Coturnix japonica: one gene and its partner. The protein of the gene in region 2 purifies or fractionates together with the protein of the main gene of each other region. This does not show direct contact. Links are inferred from orthologs where the notes say so. Each region holds a gene or a part of one and is shown on either strand. Other genes may lie near its edges.

What was found.
Region 1: the proteins of PTPN5 (region 2) and ATP5PO purify together in Homo sapiens (affinity purification with mass spectrometry; 3 studies listed by BioGRID and IntAct, with this or other methods). This does not show direct contact. The link is inferred for Coturnix japonica from reciprocal best matches to the Homo sapiens genes PTPN5 and ATP5PO.

Annotation. Positions count from the first base shown.
Region 1 is NC_029516.1:94,971,575-94,976,014, reverse strand, and holds ATP5PO (ATP synthase subunit O, mitochondrial), read left to right. Parts: upstream 1-1,366; 5' UTR 1,367-1,405; coding exon 1,406-1,492; intron 1,493-1,587; coding exon 1,588-1,638; intron 1,639-1,714; coding exon 1,715-1,825; intron 1,826-2,269; coding exon 2,270-2,399; intron 2,400-2,513; coding exon 2,514-2,626; intron 2,627-3,576; coding exon 3,577-3,663; intron 3,664-3,974; coding exon 3,975-4,088; 3' UTR 4,089-4,155; downstream 4,156-4,440. UniProt on the Homo sapiens protein: Subunit OSCP, of the mitochondrial membrane ATP synthase complex (F(1)F(0) ATP synthase or Complex V) that produces ATP from ADP in the presence of a proton gradient across the membrane which is generated by electron transport complexes of the respiratory chain.
Region 2 is NC_029520.1:16,628,831-16,633,142, reverse strand, and holds the start of PTPN5 (tyrosine-protein phosphatase non-receptor type 5), read right to left. Parts: upstream 3,094-4,312; 5' UTR 2,982-3,093; intron 2,570-2,981; exon of another isoform or gene 2,450-2,569; intron 2,282-2,449; exon of another isoform or gene 2,258-2,281; intron 2,207-2,257; exon of another isoform or gene 1,998-2,206; intron 1,781-1,997; exon of another isoform or gene 1,607-1,780; intron 1-1,606. UniProt on the Homo sapiens protein: May regulate the activity of several effector molecules involved in synaptic plasticity and neuronal cell survival, including MAPKs, Src family kinases and NMDA receptors.

The DNA of each region.
Region 1 (4,440 bases), on a different chromosome or scaffold from region 2:
CTGGAGCACAAGTCTGATGGAGAGCAGCTGAAGGAACTGGAGTAGCTCAGTCTGGAGAAGTCTCAGGGGAGACCTCATTGCTCTCTATAACTACCTGAAAGGAGGCTCTGGAGAGATAGGGATCAGTCTCTAAGGTAACAGCAACAGGGCAAGAGGTGATGGACTCAAGCTTTAATAGGTGAGGTTTAGGTTGGATATTAGGAACAATTTCTTCTCAGCAAGAGCACTGAGGAAGTGGCACAAGGAGGTGGTGCAGTCACCATCCCTGGAGGTGTCCAAGAGCCGTGTTGATGTGGCACTGAGGGACGTGGGCAGTGGGCATGGTGGGGGTGGGCTGAAGGTTGGGCAGGGTGATCTTACAGGTCTTTTCCATCCTTAATTATTCTGTAATTCCATCCAACCTGGCCTTGAGCGCCTCCAGAGATGGGGCACCACAGCTCCTCTGGGCAGCCTGCACCAGCACCTCACCACCCTCTTACATCTAAACTAAACCTCCCCACAGCAAATAAGCTGCATACAGCTGAAAGAGCTCAATCCCAGCATCCAAAATTAAAGCATATTGGTGGCATTACCTTACTTCTGATGGGACGCTAGCCCGGCTATCTTACTCAGACCATATTTCCTGAAGAGTGCCGCTCTAATTCCCTGGTTTTGACATAACTTAAGCGAGCACTCCTTTTTCAACCTGTAGCAACAGCATCATCTAGCGCCTGGAGCCTGCTCTGCATGCTTGCAGCACGGTTGCCCTTAGCACAACGCCGTGCGTTCAGCGGTTCAGCAGCACACAGGAGCGGAGAGAGCAGCCCAAGGCCGAGCATAGGACTGTGGCACACTAGCAGACGCCTGGCCACGTTTATCGGAGGGGGGAGAAAACGGCTGGTTGTATTGCAGGAGTGGTTTCACCCTGTTAAAGAACAGACATATCTTTGAGGCGGGAACAGCCAAAATCACAGAATCACAGAATGACCCGGGTTGGAAGGGACCTCAAGGATCATGTAGTTCCAACCCCCCTGCCTGGCAGGGCCACCAAACATACACCNCTGGCAGGGCCACCAAACATACACCTTTACTAGATCAGGTTGCCCAGGGCCCCGTCCAACCTGGCCTTGAACACCTCCAAGGACGGGGCATCCACAACCTCCCTGGGCAGCCTGTTCCAGGGCCTAACCACTCTCCTAGTGAAGAACTTCCCCCTAACATCCAACCTAAATCTTCCCTCTTTTAACTTAAATCCATTTCCCCGTGTCCTGCTATTGTCAGCAGAAAAATCTCCCTGTGGAGAACGTGTGTGAAGCAGCTGAGGGCAGAGAAAGGGCGGGAAAAGGCCTCAGGCCTGACAGCCCCACAGCGCCTCCCCCGCGTCACGGAAGAAGCCCCGCGGTACTACACGTACCTACAGCCGCGCATGCGCACTTCCTCGCCGCCGGGCCCAGGCGCAGCGGTGACCTCGAGCGGCGGTGGGAAAATGGCGGCGGCGGGGATCGCTCTGAAGGTGAAGCGGGGCCGGGGGGAGAGGGGGCACGGCGCGGTGCGGTGGGTCCTCACCTCCTTCGTGAGGGGGTTGGACAGCCGCTGTGTGTCCCGTAGGTGCGGCAGCTGAGCACGTCGGCGGCACGGCCGGCTTCCAAGCTGGTGAAGGTGAGCGGGGCCGGGGGTGGGGGGTTGGGGTCGGCCTCCCGTGTAGGGCCGCTCTCAGACACCGTCTGTCCCGTAGCCGCCCATCCAGGTGTACGGGCTGGAGGGCCGCTATGCCACCGCGCTGTATTCCGCCGCCACAAAGCAGAAGAAGCTGGAGCAGGTGGAGAGGGAGCTGAGCCGGGTGTGGGTAAGGCTGCTGGGCGAGCCTCAAAGGTCACGGAGGGGCTGGGGGCCGCCGTCTGTCTGGTGCTTTTAGGGCGATCCTGCATATTGTGTGACATGTACCGGGCCTGCCTGTGCTCTGAACTCCTTCCCTAGTGCCCCTCTGTGGCTTTCTGAGCTCCCTGAAGCTCTGCCATACTGGACACGGAGTCATTTGATATGTTTTTAAAAGTCACTAATAAAACTGTGAGGATGCAGTCCAGTTAATCAGCTCTTGTAGCCCACAGCTGTATGTTCTTAGGCTGCTTCGATCTACTGAATGTTTCCTCTCTATGAGCTCTACCTGGAGCTGCCATTTCATTTCTCATCTGCTCTCTCCTGCCCTGTATCCTTGATCAAAGAGCAGCTGTTGCCTGCGTAGCCCTGAAAAACTTGTGGCCTTTACAGTGTTGCTTGTGTGTTCTCTTAGACTCTCTTGAAGGACCCTAAGCTGTCCAGCATTGTTATGAACCCTCATACCAAGGGCACGGTTAAACAGAAAGCTGTCAAAGACGTTTTAGCAAAGGAGAGGATGTCCCCTATTACCGTCAACCTGATGAGTGAGTACACATTTACTTTGTGAAACATCTGATGCTGCTTGTGATTAGTTGTTGCTAAGTGAATCTGCTCCTAGTGGGTGTGCTAAACCCTTCTAATACATCTGCATCTTCCAGACCTGCTTGCTGAAAATGGCCGCTTGCGCTACACTCCAGGCATTGTTTCTGCCTTTGGGAAGATCATGAGCGCGTTCAGAGGAGAAGTGCTGTGCACAGTCACCACTGCACAGGTGGGTTTGGAACCTTGAGGCTGAGTTTAATAGGTATGGGCATAAAAGGCAAGCTTCTTTGGCTGTAGTATAATCAGCTTGCTTCATGAGCAATGAAGAAAAATCTCATCTCTACAAAATGCTTTAATAGTGTTTCAATATGCAGTAATTATTGGCTAGCGATTATACACATTCTTCTTGTTTCAGCCTAACGAGTAGCATCTTTTTCTATGTGTGAACCCAGGGGCTGATGAAAGTCAGCCTGGTCTGCAGATAAAACTGCCTCCGCTCTTCTTTTTGTCATTAAGAATACACTGAACAGGTTAGAACTAACAGATCAGCTCTTTTCTGTAGTGAGGCAGATGTCTGAAGTGAGATCAAAAAGCTCTGTAAGCTCAAATGCAGATAGTAACAGTACAAAGGGGGATGGCTTTAAACTAAAGAGAAGAGATTTAGATTGGATGTCAGAGAGAAATCCTTTCCCCAGAGGTTAGTGAGGCGCTGGCACAGCTGCCCATAGAAGCTGTGGTGCCCCATCCCTGGAGTTGCTCAAGGCCAGGTTGGATGGGGCCCTGGGCAGCCTGAGCTGGTGGGGGGCAGCCCTGCCCACGGCAGGGGTTGGAACTGCATGATCTTGAAGGTCCCTTAAAACCCAGATAGATGTGTCTTTTGTTGAGTGCTTAGTTTATCGAGTCAGGACTCTTGATGCTTGCTTTCTCAAGATGTTAACACCAAGCAGTTGCTGGTGATATGTGTGCAGATGACAGCGCAGTACTTCATGAAATAGAAGGAGCACAAGATGCTGCTGTTTCTGTGCTGTCATTTGCTTATTGCTATCCAAGAAGGCGCTTCCTCTGCCTTCCTGGGAGTGTCTTTGATGGAGTCTGAAGAGAAAGTAAAGGGGGTTCTCATTATACCATTTATTTTTTTTACGTGCTTTGTTTTCACTGTGTCTGTGCAAATGTTTTCAGCCCTTGGATGATGCCAGCCTTACTGAGCTAAAGAGTGTTCTGAATGGATTCTTGGCTAAAGGAGAGGTCTTGAAGCTGGAGACCAAGGTAGGAGGTTTTGATTTGTAAATACACCTTGCCAAGCTGTGCTTCTTGCGCTCTCTCATCTTTACAAAAAACAAATGAAAGAGGAACTTTGGGACACTGTTGTATACATTCATTTGGTTGAATTCAGCTGCTCTATTATATACTTCTATGTTTTCTTGTACGCTTTAATTACTGAAATCTTAACTTTGAAATGCACTGATTGCAAGATTATCTAAATAAGGCTCTTTTAAAGCTGTTCACGCTGTTAAAAAAGAAAAGTATAAGGGTAACAAGTATTTGCTAATGGAGTTTCTGTTCAATCTTTCTTCTAGACTGATCCCTCAGTCCTTGGTGGAATGATTGTCAACATTGGGGAGAAATACGTGGATATGTCAACAAGGTCAAAGATCCAGAAGCTGACCAAAATAATGAAAGAGACTGTCTAACAAGCTGTCCTGTTTGCTCACGGTGAAACCTGTCACAGGGAAACAATAAAACTGTTCTTCTCCAAGAGCTGTTGTAGAGTATTGATTCTAATATGTAGCAGTGGGAGAAAGATGATGAGGCCTCCAAAAGCTTGCTAGGGAGAGGTTAAGATGTTTGTATCTTAAAACTACATATAAAAACATTCAACACAGGACCTTGTGTTACATTGGTGTTCTAATGACAAGGCTGTGTGCGCCTCCTTCTCTTTAATAGGATGTTGAGGATATTGACCTCAGGGCAGCTGGCCAGATGTAATAATTATTAACCAAAAGGAGGGGGCAGCCCAGAGAAGGACCTTCTAGTCCTGTTGTT
Region 2 (4,312 bases):
CCCACAGACTCTACTGCCTCTTGTTGACTCAGCAGCACACAGGTCAAAGCCATTTGATTAAGCAACCAGCAATCAACAAGACCTAGGAAAATCACCTCTGGCGAGGTTTGCAGACAGTTTACAGGTAAAACCAAGAAGGTAGAATTCCTTAACAGAGAATGTGACAAATTTACTCATTTTATTCTGCAAAGAGAAAATTCTTAATTTGTGCATTGGCTTCACTCCCTTTCTTAATTGAACATAACTGCCTTGCATATCTAAGCTCTTCTGTTAACAAGCCCTAAATAGAGCAGACACCACAAAACCAAATCCTTGCTTCCAACAGTCTGACTATTTGCGGGACTTAATGCTCCATATTTGACTGATGTTTTATACAGAGACAGAAGGAGTCACAGGAATTTTTCCCCACCCCTTCCTATGCTGCAAGTCAGTGTAATTGCCCCTGCTGCAGCAGCATCTGCCTTTCCAGATAGTGGAAAACATCCTGCTACATAATTGAATTTTGAGAAAACAAAACAAACCCCAACCACCCAAAAAAACCCAACAACCAAATCCACAGTTCCCCTTCTGGCTTTTTTTTTTCTTTTCTTTTTTTTATTCTCTTCTTCTTTTTTTTTTTTTTTCCTTCATATACAATCAAAACCAAAACAAATAAGCATTCTTCCCAAACACAAACAGCACAATGTGGGGGGGAAAAAAAGCCACAAAAAACCCTTCCATTTCAAAGAAGTTTAGGTACCTTCAAGCTGAATGCATTTATTTGCTCTCCTGCTTTATACATTCATATTATAAGATGCATCCTATAAACACTCAGATTCACATTTCTGTTGTGCCTTCTATATTTATCACGTGAAATTGATGGTCTTGCTATTTAGAGGCTCTTGTTCTAGTTTTACAAGCATGGCATCCAGTTGGCAACACTCTATGCCATAGTGAAAAACATTTTAAAGCTCAGCCCTGAATCCATAACTGTAACGCTGAATGAGAAGTTAAAAAAGAAAAGAAATCTACAAAGACTCACTGAGTCGTAGAATGGCCTGGGTTGAAAAGGACCACAATGATCATCTGGTTTCAAATCCCCCCCTCCGCTATGTGCAGGGTCACCAACCACCAGACCAGGCTGCCCAGAGCCACATCCAGCCTGGCCTTGAATGCCTCCAGGGATGGGGCATCCACAGCCTCCTTGGACAACCTGTTCCAGTGCATCACCTGCCTCTGCGTGAAAAACTTCCTCCTAATCTCTAACCTAAACCTCCCCTGTGTCTCAGTTTCAAGCCATTCCCCCGGGAATGCCCTATAGGATGTATGTAGCAAAAATCATCTTCAAGTGCTTGATAAAACACTGAAATCAACTCCCAAATCGCTTCTTCGGCACACTCACAACGCCTATGATGTCAGAACACGGGACAACACGGTCGCAGTTCTTTTCAATCTCTAATTAACACCAGCTCGCAACTCAACCCCCGCTGCAAGCGCTGACCAATCGAAGCCCTAAAGCATCTGTTAGTCGCAAACCAGCTCTCGGGGCGCACACGCAGCCGCCTCCCGATGCAGCAGCCGGCGCGCCGCACGCAGCTCCCCGGCGGCCCCGCGCTCCGTTACCTACCACGCCGGCCTCGCGCTCTGAGCACCGCCACCTATCCGGCGGCAGCCCCCTATCCGGCAGCACGGCTCGCTGGCGGATCGGCTCCAGGAGAGCGCCGCGAAGCTGTCGCTGACATCCGGCTGGAGCGAACTCGGGGCCGCTCTCTCTTCTAGAGCAGCCTCTCCGAACCGCCCGCTCCTTCCCGGGGGAGCCCAGATGAAGGCGCTCGGCGGGCCCCTCCCCCGCCCGCAGCCCCCCGCCCATCAGTGGGGCCGCCGCTCGCCCTCCGGCTGCGGCGAAGCTCCACACCTCCGCGTCCCATCCTTCCCCGTGGGGCCGGGCTGCCGCACCTCCGCCCGCGCAGCCGGACGAGATGGGAAGCGGCCGAAGGAGAAGCGCGGCGCGGTCTTACCTCCCCTCCCCGGCTCCGCCGCCCCTCCCGGCCTCGCACCTCAGGTGCGGAGGATGCACAAAGACGGAGCCTCTCGCTGCAGCGGGGCGGGGTCGCTGGTCCACCCCGCCTCGCGGAGCTCTCAGCGCACCGCACCGCACCCGCACCGCATCCGCGCCCGCCCGGAGCCTCTATGGGCGCCGAAGCCGTTACAACTTGCCTCGCGCCTCCTCTCCTCCCAGCGGCGCCCCCGGCAGCCACAGACACACAGACACACGTACACACGCGCGCGCCGCCGGCGGCGCAGACCCCTCCGCCAGACAGGGGCGGGGGGAGCAGGTGCCGATAGCGGGAGAGGGGCCGCCCCTCGTGTCCCCCCCCCCCCTCCTTCCGAGCCGGGCGGCTCCGCGGACGCCCCCGGGAAGAGCCGCGATGCCGGCGGGCAGAGGCAGCGCCGACAGAGCTTCCCCTACCCGGGGAAAGCTGCTCCCCTCCTTCTCCCTCGCTCTCCTTCTTTGCAGCGCGGCGGCTGACTGACAGCGCGCCGCTCGGCGGCCGCCCACGCGCATTCTTGTTTCCACTCGCTCGGAGAGAGAGGGAGATGGCGAAGGAGAAAACATGAATGAAAGCGGCAGCCGAGGGGAAGCCGGCGCTGCCGCAGTGAGGCCCCGCCGCCGGACCCGTCCCCCGCCGCCCACCGCGTGCTCTGAGCCCCCCGCGGACGTGGCCCGACTGCAGACGCGGAGCCCTCGGGCGCTCTGTGCCGCCCTGTGCGCGCCGCCGGAGGAAGGGCGACAGCATCCTCCGTGCGCCGCGGCTCCCTACGAGCCTTACGGCGGGGGCGGCCGCTCCTGCCAGCCGCTTTTGGGAGGGAAGCAGGCCGTGGGGAGCGGGCAGGTGGCCCCCAGTGCGGGCTAACCGAGGCTGAGGTTCCTCGTTGATGAACGCCCTTCGCTGACGGCGAGCAGTCTGGTCCGCGCTGACAGAAAACCCAGCACCTGGTACCTGAGTGAGGGATCCCGTCCTGATGTGATAGGAAGGAGGAAAGGATCTCGAAGATATATGTCCCCTTGGTTTTTCCAGTGATAACGTGACTCTATGAGACAGCTGCTTCACAGGGTTGGTCCTCAGATTGGCCATCCCTTACAAGGTTCTAACTCGTTAAGCACATACATCTGAACCCTTGGCTGGAGAGCAGAGATGTCTACATGCTTCGTATTGTTGGCACTGGTTCGTGGCAGGAGCTTTAAGAGTCCGGTTCGTCAGAGTGTTCAGCATGTAGATAGTGGGTGCGCACCACATCAGTGACACAGCTTTTGCCCCATGAGTCTGGAATTGGGTTCTGAGCCATCTCACATCAGTATGCACCCACAAGTTTAATACCTGCCAGAAAACTTATTTCAGACCAAATTGCCCTCTAGATTTAAAAGCCACTTAGGATTCCTATGATTAGTGTCTCAGTTACTTCATTTTTTAAATGTTGCATTCCTGAAAACTGAGTGTGTGACAAAACATGGTCAAGTCCTTTGATATAGAGTAACAAATGCAAGATAATTTAGATGGGTCAGTGCAACTCTGTATGCGTGTTTCTGTTTTATGAGGCTCTTCTCTTCGTGCTAATAGCCCAATATGACTCACCTACAGCACATATCACTGCCACAGCTGTTGTAAACCTTCTTCTGAGTCAGAGAATGACTTTATGACCCAGAATTCTGGCAGTGAGTACTATCCCAGTGATTTTCCCAATTAAGAGAGTCTTGCAAGTCAGTATCAGTGCAGGGTGAATCAGAGTTTGATGCAAGAGGCAAAACTGGACTCTGCTCTCTCCTTCAAAAATTCAGTGGCATCAACTCCTTCTAGAGTTTATAAAGACTCCTGTGGAACAGAGATTTAGCTCTCCTCAGTCCCAAATGCTCCAAGCTACTGTGCCAGCCATCTGCCACTGACTGCTGTGGAGTGCATAGCAAATCTACAGGATGGGCAAGCAGTGGTGAATAGTTGAGGGCTAGCGTGACCCTCAAATGGTTTTGAATACTAAAATTTGGATTCCTCAGGATCCGTCAACTTCTTGCTACGCAGAATCTTCATTTTCAAAAGGAAAGGGACCAACCTTCGTGGTCAGGTATAGTGTTGAGCCATAATGGCATGAAAGAGATTTTTATTTATTTTTTAACTTCATGTTGATAAATGTATCTCAATGTTACAGGTGTAAACTCAGTACAGGCTTTAGTTTTATAGCAAGATAAACTGTAGCAGGAAGGCAGATCAATAGGATGGGAAAGGCATTACAACAAAGGTGTGATGGGAGAAGGTCAAGTACAATGGAAAGGTGCAAT